3 linked regions of the Macaca fascicularis genome follow. The protein of the gene in region 2 interacts with the protein of the main gene of each other region in a biochemical or structural test. Links are inferred from orthologs where the notes say so. Each region holds a gene or a part of one and is shown on either strand. Other genes may lie near its edges.

Region 1 (5,042 bases), on a different chromosome or scaffold from region 2:
ATGATGAGCATCCATTCTGCACAGGCCCAGATGCCCACTACCTGCGGCAGTGCCAACACCACCAGCTAAGAAAAGCACCCACAAAGGCCAAGCTTCCAGTTTACTTCTTTGGGTCCCTGAGCTATTGAGTCTCTAGGCTCACGGGTCACCTTCTTCTCTACCTCCTGAGTGAAGGGCCCTTCTGCTGCCTCCTGGCCCTGCCAGAGGCTGGCCCCTCCCCGCATCTGTGTGGCTCAGACACTCACAGCTCAGGACACAGGACTCCAGGTCCCTGACCCATATTCTGCCTGGGCTCTACAAATGCCAGGCTCTGTCATCTGTGCCAGTGACTGGAGGTGGGGGTGACAGGGGTGGATGGGGCTGGTCAGTCCACCTCTGAGCCTCCCCAGCACCCCAGTCCTAGTGCAGCCCACCTAGCCCTGTTCTGTCCCTTGGGCACCCAAAGACGGTGAACCCTCACCTTGGTTCCTTAGTGGCACAACACATGGGGCTTCTGGAAGCTCTAACTCCAGGCAGCAGAGCGGGAAGGCTCGGGCAGGACAGAGGGAATCCTCCATAGTCCCCTCCTCACCTGCAGGGCTGGCTGGAAATCTTTTAAGCTAGATCTCACCCAAATCGGCGAGGTGCTTTTTCCTTTTTTTATCCTCTCTCCTCTGAGTTCCCCTGACTCCGCCTTTATTTAAATCTTTCTCTTCTCTTGTCTCTGCTTTCCTCTCTCCTTTTTTACTCCTCTATGTCCCATTCTTTAAAACAGGCAGTTTAGGAATCAATTTATTTTTATTTCAGAACCACCTCCCCAAAACATTCCTCTCAACCACAAAGCTCTTAATAACTTCATTCATATTCCTGGGCATTAATTATTCCAAAAGATGGTGCTAAGGAAAGAGAACCACAGACACAAGCCACTCCTGCGACAGCCGCCTCCTGTGGGCAGACTGACCCTCTGCAGCGCAGAAATGGAAGGACACTGGGCGGACCCAGAGATATTTTTGTGCCTCCTTTGGGAAGACTCTTTGGATCTAGCCTGTCCACAATATACGGGCACCTTATGATGCCTTGACTGTGCCAGAGACATTTCCCCTGGGTGCACGATGGTCCTGTTTACCACTGCCACAGCACCTCGAGAGGCCACAGGACACTGTGGCTTTGAATGTGGACCTTGCAGACCAAGAGGTCAGATTCCTGACTCCAACACTTAACGGCCGCCCAGCTTTACCCAAGACATTTAAGCTCTCATAACCTGTTTCCAGACCTGAAAATGGGAGTAACAATCACGTATAACTCATGGCAGCCTTGACAGAGGTCAATGAGAGAAACCTGCACACATGCTTGGGTTAGTGTTCAACGAATGCTTGCTGGTATGGCCTGTGTTGTCACTGTAAGGTCATGGTGGGTGGATTATACAGCGTCCCCCACCCCTACCACCACAAGGCACTCATGACCCGGCCTGTTTGTGCAAGAACAGATGATGCAAACTACCATGGCGCCCAGTGGAGCCGCTGCCAGCTTCTTCTGGGGACACTGTGCAGCACATGGGCCTGCCATCAGCTGTCAGGACCCGTCCAACTGTTTTGGAAGTGCCTCCAGCATCTGCCACTGGCTGCCTCATGGTGCTTCTGCCCAGGCAGAGTTCAGGGCTGTGGCAGGGGAGCTGGCCCCAGCTGGATCTGTCTGTGCCCCTCGGAGCCCCCTCAAGCCCTCACCTCACGAAACAAGCTTATCTTTAGAAGAGCACTCCTGTCCTGTGCAGAGGCTCAGCTTCTGCCCTGCTTCAGGCCCTCCTCATTTACCTGCCCTCCCTCGGAGTCAGCAGCCTCCTTGCCTCCTCATTCCAGTTCATACCCCTGGCTTCCCGAAGAGCCACCGAAGTCAAATCTCACATCCTCCAAGGGAAATGGGCCACTGAAATGAAAATGATTCTCCACCTAGAGGCACCAGAAACCAAGTAATGTTTCTGGGCTTCCAATTCTGGGGCCTGAGATGTGAACACACGGGTGGCAGTGTAGGTGCCTGGCTGTGTCCCGTCATATCCTGGATGCTCAGTGCGTGTGGCTATGTGTGTGCTGTCCTCTGCTCAAAAACTCTCAGGAAGTGTTCCAACTTCTTGCTTGGCCTGGAAGCATCTGCCTCTCCCTCTGGCCTCCCCTTCCAGCCTCACCCCCATTTTTCACGTGCAGGACCCTTTGCCAGAGCCACATTTCACTTTCTACCATCACCCCAGGTCCCTTGACTTCCCAGCCTTTGCCCAAGCTGCTCCTCCAACTAGAGGTCTCTGGTTCCACCCTGAGGCATCCCACCTATCCTTTCAAAGGCCATGGCCTCCTTAAATGCATCATGCATATGCGTGTGCACACACATGCATGGTATTCTTGCATCCCTGCATTCCACAGCTTTGTTAAATCTCACATAAATAACATTCCTCCATTTCCTCTCCTAACCCCAAGCAGTTGAAAGCAGAGCCCATGGCACCTTGGTTGCTATGGTCTCCCACAATACCGTGCATGCCTAGGCACTCTGCAACAGTTACATTAAATTAACTCCCACTCATGAAAACCTCTATCTGTGCACCTGACCTGAAAGCATTTCTGAAAGTCATTTGTCTGACAGATATTGCCCAAGACCTACGGACCCAACAATAGCATCATTGATAACTCCTCTTGCATTTCCATTTTTAGAAGTGCACAGCAGAGTGATATTCTGAGCGAGAGTCCTCCAGAAGAATGGGTAAGTACGTGCAAATTGCTGAGCCTCTGTTCATTGCATCCAAAATGAAAGTCACCAGCATGCTGTATAACTCAAGAAAATACGAGAGAGAGGGAAAAGCAACATCGCAGTTTGACTACAAGAGGTTTCCAGTAAGTACTGCAGTTGAAAATCCCAGCCAGCCAAACAATCTTTTGCAAGATCTATATAAGAAAGTTGAAAGCATGCATTACCTGTTAGGCTCTGAAACAAGGGTACAATTCAGGGGTAATACAAAGGATTTTCTTGAGAGTGTCTGAATTCAGAACATGCTCCCCGAGTTTTCCTTCTGCCCTGGCCCCAAGCTTCTGGCTGCTCTGCCAGGCAGTTCTGAAACGCTCTCCTTTGAAGCAGGGAGTTTATTTTGGGGCCACCGCATGACCAACGTTGACAAGCCAAACTATAAGATGTTATGCATCTCAGATTTCCTGTTTGGAGGTTGCACTGAGGAAGCTGCGATCCTGCCTTCCGTTCCTCTGGGTGCATCGAATACAGACTCTCACTTCAGAGAGGATCCCGGAGCTTTGGCCCTCACGTGATGTCATCATTTGTGATCCTTGACATGGAGGCCATATATGGGTATGTTTCTGGAACTACCCAGGAGGGAGCCAAACAGGAGATGCAGTGGGTCAGAGACAGAGGCAGGGAAAGAGGATGAGGAGACGCAGAGTTGGGAGACAAAGAGTGAGGAGCAGGGGAGGAGAAAGAAAGGGGAAGAGGAGAAGAAAAGGCAACAAAGGAGGGAAGGCAAGACAGCAGGAAGGAAGAGGATGGAGTGAAAGAGGAGGGAAGTGGGGGAGAGAGGAGATGAAGGAGTTGATGTAAAAGGGCTTTGGAGAAATCAAGGTTCGGTGCTGAACTTGTGGCAGCATTTGGGGATACCAGGTGTCTGGCTGCTGGATACTGTGGGGTGGGGCTGGGGATACAAAGGGCCAAGGTACAAATGAGCCAACAAACAGAGAGGCATGCGGGCAAGTCCTGGGCAGAGATACACAGCAGAAGGGAGCCCTTCCTCCTGGTCTAGGGAAGAATGTCCCATTTCCGGAATAGGTCGAATGTCAAAGACAACACACACACAGCCACACGCACTGAGCATCTGGGATGTGATGGGACTCAGCCAGGCACCTACACTCCCACCTGTGTATTCACATCTCACGCCTCAGGGTTGGGGGTCCAGAAACATGACTTGGTCTGTTCCTCTATGTGGAGAATCATTTTCATTTCAGTGGCCCATTCCCCTTGGAGGATGTGGGATTTATGACAGCCACAGCATGATTTCTCACCAATTAAAACTCAGGAAACCTCAGGATGCCTTTACATGCACTTCGAATATTCCACAAGGAAATACATCTCAGTATACAAGGTGCCATGGGGTTGGGTCAAGGTTCTGGAGGTATGACTGGTGCTAAAGACAGGAGGGACACTAGTGGTCCCCAGGCAGTCCCCCAGCTTCCCTGGTACCTGCCAAGTTGCTCATCACCCCAGCTGGGACAGTCTTCCCAGGCCACTGTGGCTGGGTGGCCCCTCAAAGTTAGCTCAGGTTCAGTCCCTTCCAGACCCATGTGCTATGGAGGGAGTGCAGGAGAAGGGCAGAGAAGGGGCTGTCAGATTTTTTTTACTTTTGGGGGTGTTTCCTCCCCGGTAGAACGTTCCAGTGGCCTCTGTGAGACAGCTCCCTGAGGCCGGGCTGCTTTCCTGGGCTCCTTGCTGGAGACAAAACACAGGTTCCTCTGCTTCCTGCCCACCGCCTGCCCCTCCCCAGTCCGACCTGGAAGGTGGGCCATAATCACACAAGGCCCTTCCTAGGTCGCCCTCTGCCTTACCTGCTCAGTCCAGACAAAGCTCTTGTGGTCAACAGAGCTAGAGAAACTCAGACTCCAGATCCCGAGTCTTATACTTGGACTCAGCTTTAGAAAATCAAGACCCAAGTTGTGGATAAGAGTCACAGAGCACAGAAAATGCACTTGGGGGTGGGGGTGGACAGCAGACGATGGGGGCTTGTCGGACACAGTTTGATTGCAACATGAAGGCATTATCTTGCCGCACTCACAACAACCTTCCAAGCATCACCGCATATGACAGATGAGGAAACTGAGGCTCAGAGAGGTTGGATGGTTTGTCTATGGTGCCACAATTTGTAAGTGATGGCTTAGTTTATCTGCCCCAGTTATGTCTGACACAAAGACCACTGCTTTTAGCCATAGCTGTATCTCCTACGATCCAAATGTTGGGGCAGAACAAGGAACCCCGCAAGGAGGATGGAAAAATTCCCGAAAGTCTAGGTTGCTGATAGTGGTTCC
Region 2 (3,671 bases):
GGCCTGGGTTTGATGTGTGCCATGGCTGCAGGCTATGGCCTGGTCCTCTCCTTCCCCTTGCTCATGTGCCTGGCCCTGAGCTGTGGGCTCTGGGGTCATGGGGACCCGTAGGGCTTCGTGTCAGATGCTGTGGAGCTGAGGGAGGATGTGGCAAGAAAGCTGAGTGTTGTCCCTGAGAGCCTTGCTTCCTGGCCCTTGTCTGCAGATGTCTGAGGTGGTGGTGTGCTTGTCAGGGGTTTGATCTGGGCCAAAGCCACCTGAAGCCTTTGGCCTGCGGAGCAGGCAACTTTGTGTGCTGCAGTTGGCATGTCCCAAGAGCATGCAGGCAGCACTAGGAGCCAGGACGACTTGGGATGTTGTGTGTTTGGGAGCAGTCTTTACAGTGGGAGAACATAGGTTAGTGTGGGAATCCACGGCAGGGGTACCAATGAGGAGATACTCAGCAGGGGCCCCAGGGTACCTGGGATTGGCACTTAGAATGCATCCACCTACTGCCACCTGTAAAGGGCCCTGTACCGAGCCTGGGGGAGGGGGCCTCATCCCAATCCCTTGTTCAGGGGAATGGTGGCATGTTCAAGTTACCTGGCAGATGGCCAGGGCCTGCTGTGATTTTGAGGACTGCTTAGAGGGCTCTTGACTATCTGGCCACCTCCACCAGGGAGCCTTCCTGACATCACCCTACCCAGTAATGGGCTCTCCTCCCCAGCTCTTTGCCTCCTTGCAGCCTGGGCTCCATTCCGCGTTGCTACATGTCCCTCTCCTTGCGTTGGCTCGAACTCAGGGAGGCAGAGGAAGCAAGTATAGATGGAGCCTTCTGGAGTCAGGGTGGGGTGAAGCAGGAGCCCTGGAGGGAGGTGACCTGTGGTCGGCCCACGCTTTGATATGCTCATTGGTACCCCTGTCAGGTTGGCCTTGACTGGTCCCCCAACCCCAACAAAGCTACAGCCACCCACAGGAGAATGGAAGCAAAACTTTATTCCTCTTGGCTGGAGAAGAGAAGTAGTGGGTGGTCGTGTACAGGACCCCCATCCCTCACCCCTCCCAGAACCAAAGAAGACAAGCAGCGCCACCAAATGGCTCCCTCTGCCCAAGTGAAAGCCGAGAGGTCAGCGGCTGGCTGGGGAGGCAGGTGAGCGCAGCACGGCACAGGGCAGGGGCGGCTGCAGTGACAGGCAGGCGGCCAAGGTGGCCCAGGGGCCAGGGCTGAGGGGAGGAGGGCGGGGCTGCTTGGATAGTGGGGCAGGCTTGGGGGCTGCCGGCTGGCACTGACCCCAGACTCAGGGCACCACAACGCGGTAGGGGCTGCCTGGGATGTGCTCGTCGCCCCACTTGACCACCAGTGTGTACTCCCCCTTGTCCTTGAGCAGGTAGGACACGCTGTAGAGCCGGCTGCCCACGTGCTTCACCAGGATCTCCTCGCAGGGGGTCCTTGGGCCATGAACCCCCACCAGCAGCATGTTGTTGCCTGAGGCAAGAGGGGTCCTCAGTCACAGGTCCCAGCCCCCTTCCTCCCGCTGGTGTCCTCTCTCCTCTCCTGTCCCTAGCCAGTTCTGGGGTGACAGTTCTCTCTTGCTAAAGAGCTGCCAGCACCTCCCCAACCCAGGCTGGCTTAGCAGATTCCAGTTCCTCCCTGGCCTTTGTTTGAGGGTCCAGGAGGTGGCTCTAGAAGTGACAGCCATACCCCAAAGGTGGTCCCCCCTCTCTCAGATACTGGCCGTCCTGTGATTTCTGGCCTCATTTTGGTGGGAAGGTGGGCCGGGGGCCCGAGTTTGCCCACCTGCTTTGCTGCAGTCTACCGTGAAGCTGCTCTTCTGGCCTATGTAGGCCTTGCTCAGTCCCAGGCCCTTGGCCACCACCTTGGCGGCGTCAGCAGGCCCAGGACCCGGAGCCCCATGCTGAGGAGCGCAGGTGGCCTTGGTCAGAGAGTCTACAAATACTGATGATGTCTCGTGGAGGCTGTGGTTGCTGACGAGACGGGGGCCTGCAGGGCAGAGTGGGTGGGGCTAAGAGGTGGCCATGGTGCCAGGCATTGGGCAGGTACCAACAGCTTGGCCCCAGGCTTACCTGTGACTTTGGCCTTGAAGGGGCTGCCCCCAATGTGATAGGGGCCACCATACTTGATGGAGATGAGGTAGCTGCCAGGTGCCATGGGGGTATAGGTGACACGGTAGCCCTCAGGGCACTCCTGGCAATCCATCTTCACCTTGGAGGGGCCATCAATGGTCACCGACAGGGCACCAGCTCCTGCATTGCTCGTGTTCACGATGAACTCAGCTGGGCTCCCTGGGAGCACAGGAGGTCAGGCAGAGCCAGACTGGTCTGCCTCCCTGTCCTCAGCCACCCAGCACAGGCTTGTCACCTCCAGATGCCTCCCGTTGTCACCAAGAGCTTGGAGGCAGGGGTCTAACAGCTGCATGCACACCTGCAGCCGCACCCACAGACTTACCTGTGACACCGCCTTCCAGGCCTGCTCCGTAAGCAGACACCAAGCCTGGGTCCCCTCCATGACCGGGCTCCCCAACTCGGATCTTGAAGGGGCTTCCAGGGATGTGGGTGCCATTGAACTTGACGTCAATCAGGTAAACGCCATTCTCCCGAGGGATGAAGCGCACAGCATATTTATCTGAGGAGCAGGGAGCCATGCTGTGGGCCTGGGGCTCCTCCTCAAACCAGCAAATGGTGTCTGAGGAATAGCCTCAACCCTGGCCCTACCCGTTTTGCTGGTCCATCAGTGTGAGCCCAGCCATGCTGGGCACCTGCACCCTGCAGCAGACCTCCCGAGGGCTGAAGCTTTAGACACTCAAGCTGCCCACTGCCAGGGTGCATTGGGACAGAAATCTTTTACAAGCCAAACCCAGGCCTCGCTGCCTCCTAAGAAAGGTTACCGTGAACAACATATCCCCTGCATGTTAACGGGCTCAGAGACAGGCAGGAACTTGCTTCAGGTCACGCAGCTGGGAAGGGCAGGACTAGGCTGTGAAATGAAGCCCACTGGGCTCCTCTTACCCCCAAGGTTGCCCCAGGCCTGTGCACAAGTACCATGGCCATGGCTAAAGGGCCGAGCAGCACTGAGGCTGGACTTTGAGTCTTTGCCTGTGGCGACAGCATGGTACTTCAGGGTAGAAGGCCTTCCTAACAGCCATGGGCGGCGAGCCACATTCACAATGGCTTGGGTCACCAATTGAGAAAGGGTTGCTTGGCTTAGGGGGGCCAGGAGATGGGGCCCCGTCTTGGCTGCTTACAGAAGCGGTACCTTCCTTTTGTACTCTCAGCCTGCTTCCAACCAGCAGGGCAGGGCGGCCGGGCGGGGACAGGGCCTCACCTTGGTCAATTTCTGTGACATAGCACTCCTCCAGGGCTCCTGAGGGGCTGTGCACCTTGGCATCGATCGCCCCCTTGGCCCCATTCAGGCTGACTGCAAAAGAGGCTGGCTGGTTGACCTTTAGCCCTGACTCCTGGAAGCACAGCAGACATGGTTAGATGGGGGGCTTGGGCCAGGGCAAGGGCAAGGGAGAAAGGAAAGGCCCCAGGAGCAGGAGGCCCGCGGGTTGCACTTACCCATCTGGCGTCCAACTTGGTTTAAAGAGGGAGAGCCACTGATTTGCAAGGGGCAGGAAGCCACAGGCACACATCCCCACGCCTGCCCCCACACTCTGCCATCGCACACACCC
Region 3 (4,991 bases), on a different chromosome or scaffold from region 2:
ACGAATGTACCTTTCTGTATCTTAACCTCTCTACTCCACACTTCCCACCTCTGAAAAAACAACCAGCCAAATTCTCAGAACCTAGAACCAAGTCAGAGTAAACACTGCTAATACAATACAGACACTTACATATTTACCTGGCATAATCTCTAGGATTCCACCCACAACCTAACAGATCCTAACTCTCTCGTAGAGTGAGAAAATCTGCTAAAATCTGACAGAAGTCCAAATGAATCCTTTCAGATATATGTAGCTTGTTACATACTCAGAAAGTTAAGTTCTCGGAACTTGAAAGCTCTCTGAAACTTTTACAAGATGTTTCAGCTTATCACACTAGCAGCATGGTTAAGGGCAAACCAGAGCAGCTACAGAATATTAATGAATATTTTTTTCGGACAGAACACTGTACTACTCCCTGCTGTAAGCCACAACTTACTTATCAAGAAGTCAAACAATAAAGACATTAAAATCAGTGGCAAGCACTCTTAGAAAAACTGGCACCATGTTGTTTGACCACTTTTCATTATTATAGTATGACCATTTGTCCCCAGTGTCACTCCCAGAGTTAGGAAGAACACCAATGTAGAACTACATTTTCATTCGTGATGGTAATTTGGGGCTGATTTAAATTAAATTATACTGACCAGAAAGCTAAGAAGAAAGCTGCCTAATTGTTAAAATTACTAAATGCAGTGACTTTCAGAATTGTTGATTCCATGCATTTCATGTACAGAATGTTGAAGGTATTCAAAAATAACTTTAATACAGAACTTTACATTGTTAGGAAAATCACATAAAATTGTAGGTCTAGGTCTGAAGTCAACATAGATGAGTTAAACAGTCTATTTGCTTCCTTTTTACACAATTAAACTATTAACCACATTCTTTGTCCTTTTAGCTAGTATTCTAATAACATCTTCCACCTTCATACTCAATTTTGGGGTAAGTAAAATGGCTTTCCCCCCAAATGCCTGTAATCAAAATACCAATGTTTTTTATTTAACACTTCACCATCTTCAGTCACTTATATAATATTGATCAATGAGCCAACATTATTTAAAAATATGAGAATTACAGTGAGACTCTAAGTCCTGACCCCTCTGGGCCTTGATGTCCACAAATGAACAGGTAACTGCCAACTAAAGTTCCTTAATCATTTCTAAAAGTGGCCTATTGTATACCCTATCGTAAAGGGCATATGTGGTTTAAGAAAGATGTCTAAATTCCTCTAGAACGTTATTTTTGTAGCATCAGAAGTACAATAAGAAAAATAATAATAACCTAAGGGCCAGGCTCAGGGGGCTCAAGTCTGTAATCCCAACACTTTGGGAGCTCTAGGAGAGAGGACTGCTTGAGCCTAGGAGTTTGAGGCCAGCCTGGGCAGCATAGTGAAATCCTGTCTCTACAAAAAATTAAAAAATTAGCCGGGCATGGTGGCAGGCGCCTGTCGTTCCAGCTACTCAGGTGGCTGAGGTGGAAAAATAACTTAAGCACGAGAGGCTGAGGCTGCAGTGAGCTGTGATAGCTCCTCTGCACTCCAGCCTGGGCGACAGAGACCCTGTCTCAAAACAAAACAAAATAACCTAGCAATTCTATCCACCTGTTATCCATGTGGCACGTTGGCCCAAAGAAACCTTACTAATGATGTTACCAATTACCTTCCGAGAAATCTTTTTACTATAAAAGAAGGGCTGAAAAGCAGTCAATATTCATTGAGCATCTACTCTCAAGCTAAGTGTTTTACATTTTGCATTTGATTTTCACGACTATAGTTAGGAAGGTTACTTTTGGTTTAAACGTAGGCTCTGGAGCTAGACCCCATGCCTTCTCCAGGAGCTCCCGATGACCATATGCAACTTACTTTTTGCTCCCTGTGCCTCCGTTTCTTCACTCGGAAAATGGAAATAGAAACAGTAGCAATCTCATTAGAGCAGTTCCAGAATTAAATAATACACATGAAATGCCTAGAGCTAAACCTGGCCCTCGCTGTCATTGTTATAAAAATGAATTATTAGTGTAGGTAGTATTGTTCCTATTTCACAGATGAGGAAACGGAAGCTTAGAGAATGCAATTTACTAATGATCATACCAATGAGTGCAAAGCTTTGGACTTAAAAGCACGAATTTGATTAAATGAAAGTTACTTAGAGAGTGGGAGTCTCATAAATCCAATTTATGAAGCCTAAGAAATGACACGCGGTAAAAATGATACTAGACACAGGACGGGCTCTCAGGCTCGCGGACCGGGTCTGAGCGCAAAGTGGCCGTGGCCCTGTGTCCTGGTCCCGGGGTGCCCGGCAGGGGCCGGCGACTCTTGACTTCCCGGCATTCGCGTTTATAAACACCGGGAAGTGAACTGCACTGCCGCCGCCGCGCCCCCGGTCCCCAGCGGCTCCGCGAGGCCACTTTCTATCCCGGCTCCAGTCGGAGAAGACCAGTCCCAACAGCGGGCGCCGACGGCCGGCTCGACGCTGCTCCAAAAACAGCAGCCAGCGAGGGAGCGAGAGACAAAGGCGCAGGACCAGTCCAGGGGCGCGCTGAGTCCTAAACGCCGAGCCCCGGGTGGCCTCGCTGGCTCCCACCTGCGCTCGCCCAGCCTGGCGGGAGACCGCAGGTGTCAGGAGCCGCTCAGGCCCGGTCCTCCGCAGCTCCAGCAGCCCCGACGTGACAGCGCCCAGGCCCGCGACCCTAGCGCTCGGAACGCGGCTGGGCCGACTCGGCGCCCGGACGCTGCCAGCGCCTGGGACCCGAGGGGGGTGGCGGTGTGCGGACTTCCTCCCGGACTAGCCTGGAATCCCGCCCCAGCCCCCACCGGCCCGCGGCCGCCCCCGCCCCCGCCCCCACGCCTGGCACAAAGGTCCCGGCGCGGCCCGGGCCGGCGGCTGTTAAGTGCTGTTGCGCACCGCAGACCCGAGGCCGCGGCCCGCACCCCCACACCCGAGGCCCGCCGGCGCCTACCTTCTCCGCGCGGCGTCCGGGCCCCGGCGCGGTGGGCTCCGGCCTGCTGTTCCGCGACTCCCGCTCGGCCTCTCCTGCGGGCTGGCGGGGCCTCCCGAGTCTCGGGCGCGGCGGGTGGCGGCGGCTCCTCCTCCTCAGGGGCGGGAGGAGGGGACTCGGCGGCCCAGAGCCGCCCCCCGGCAGGAAACCAGCCGCGGCCCCGCCTCCTCTGCGCGTCTGATCCCGCTCCCGAGGCCGCCACCGCCCTCTCCCTCCGGAAACGCATTCCTCTCCCGCCGCGTCAGCCCGGCCCCGGGGCGAGGAGGAGGCGCAGGAGGAGGCAGGAAGCGCGACCGGGACAAAGGAACTGGCCCGCTCGGGAGCGCGCCTGAGGGAGGCCGTGGAGGGCAGGGCCGGGACTCCGCTGAGACAGTCGCCATGCCTCAGTTTCCTCCTCTGTGAAGGGCGGGAGGGGTCGGTTGCGCCCTAAAGCCCCGCGCGTTCCTGGTGTAGCCTGCTGGGCCCGTGTTCTTTAAGTTCCGCTTCCTCGGATCCGCGTGTCCGACCCTCCCTCCCGTTTGTCCACTGATGTCCCGTTGAGAGCCCGGGAGGTCCTGCATCCCGGAAGCCCCCTCAGTCCCGAGGCAAATCGGTACCATGAACCCCCCCATACCCTGCAGGACTCCATGGGGCCAAAAACCACGTGGTCATTCTGGAAGGGAACTGGCTAAGCCAGGACTGCTTTTCTGGAGTGATAATGTGCTAGCGTGTGTCTAAGAGAAAGGTGAAGACTTGGGAAACCCGTGGGTGCCACGAAGGGTGGTGGGACTGGGGAACGTTTTAGAAAACCTGGTGAGTTGGGTCCTGCTTTTGATAGATTTATCTGGAGGTCCCTTTATGGGGAACAGGGATGAGAAGGAAAAGTTTCTTCCTACGGAGTAGAGTTTCTGTTTCAAACCTCTTTAAAAAAGAAAAAAAAAAAGGAGATGGGGGCTGGAAACAGAACGTTTGAAAGAGAAGGAAACATTCATTATGAGAATGGCTGGGCGCATGTCGATTCGATGATTGAAGTTCGTACCAACCAACATCATACTGAAACCCAGTAATTTCAGTATACGCTGCTGGCAAGCTGCTATCCTGGTAGCAGAAAATGTTGTAGGTTCCACTTGGTGAGCTGCAGCACCCTGTTGGGAAAAGAGCTCAAAAATTACCAGATTTATGAAACTGAGAAGAATCTTGCAGGAGATGAGGGGCTGGAACGCCCATTTGGCTGCTGCCAATCTAAAATATAAGAGAAAATGAGGCGATCACATCTAAGAAAATTTGCACATTACTTACCAGCAAAATCAAAACTATTGGTTAGCCAATGTCTGCAGACCTCTAGGAAATAAGCACTATTTTTCCCGCTTAATGGATGTTCAAGCTTAAGAGGCTAAATGATGTTCCTATGTTAATATCTCAATGGTCAAACTGCCATTAGAACACAACATTCTTGAATTTTAAAGGTATGGATTTTACCATTGTTGAGAATTCATCAGAATTAGCCCAGTCTCATTACAGAAAACTGTATAGTTCAAAAGCATAATTGGTCCATGCCTGATTTGCACTACAATTCTCAGAATTTTTTCTCCTGTATATGACTGGTGGAGGCACTGGCTAATCTTTGCTACAAGAACATTATGAGGTTTACATATGCACAACTCTAAACTAAATTAGTTCCTCCAGGGCAATTTACTGACCTTTTTAACACCACTGTCGAGCACTGTTGTGAGGACACATAATAGGGGCTCAGATAATATCTGATAAATGAATAAATGGGTCCTGTTGCTCTCCCGGGACTTGACTAAACTGATGTGTGAGGTAGCAATTTGTGTACAGAAGTCACGAGTTTTGAGGAAAAAGAAATTAAAGAAACATGTTCTCTAAGAAAAGCAGTGATCGGTCAAGAGTACGAGTCTACTTGTGATTTCATACAAATAATGGGTGGACAGTGAGCTAACTATGAAATTTATGAATAAGCAAAGATTGGTCAGCATACGTGCTAAACAGGAAAT

What was found.
Region 1: the proteins of FLNA (region 2) and ASB2 form a complex in vitro, tested with the Homo sapiens proteins (3 studies listed by BioGRID, with this or other methods). The link is inferred for Macaca fascicularis from reciprocal best matches to the Homo sapiens genes FLNA and ASB2.
Region 3: the proteins of FLNA (region 2) and ITGB1 form a complex in vitro, tested with the Homo sapiens proteins (3 studies listed by BioGRID and IntAct). The link is inferred for Macaca fascicularis from reciprocal best matches to the Homo sapiens genes FLNA and ITGB1.

Annotation. Positions count from the first base shown.
Region 1 is NC_088381.1:161,987,104-161,992,145, forward strand, and holds the start of ASB2 (ankyrin repeat and SOCS box protein 2), read right to left. Parts: upstream 3,062-5,042; 5' UTR 2,937-3,061; intron 1-2,936. UniProt on the Homo sapiens protein: Substrate-recognition component of a SCF-like ECS (Elongin-Cullin-SOCS-box protein) E3 ubiquitin-protein ligase complex which mediates the ubiquitination and subsequent proteasomal degradation of target proteins.
Region 2 is NC_088395.1:160,382,456-160,386,126, reverse strand, and holds the end of FLNA (filamin-A), read right to left. Parts: intron 3,456-3,671; coding exon 3,323-3,455; intron 2,624-3,322; coding exon 2,447-2,623; intron 2,284-2,446; coding exon 2,065-2,283; intron 1,982-2,064; coding exon 1,778-1,981; intron 1,466-1,777; coding exon 1,278-1,465; 3' UTR 958-1,277; downstream 1-957. UniProt on the Homo sapiens protein: Promotes orthogonal branching of actin filaments and links actin filaments to membrane glycoproteins. Anchors various transmembrane proteins to the actin cytoskeleton and serves as a scaffold for a wide range of cytoplasmic signaling proteins.
Region 3 is NC_088383.1:33,709,188-33,714,178, forward strand, and holds the start of ITGB1 (integrin beta-1), read right to left. Parts: upstream 3,062-4,991; 5' UTR 2,959-3,061; intron 2,786-2,958; exon of another isoform or gene 1,862-2,785; intron 1-1,861.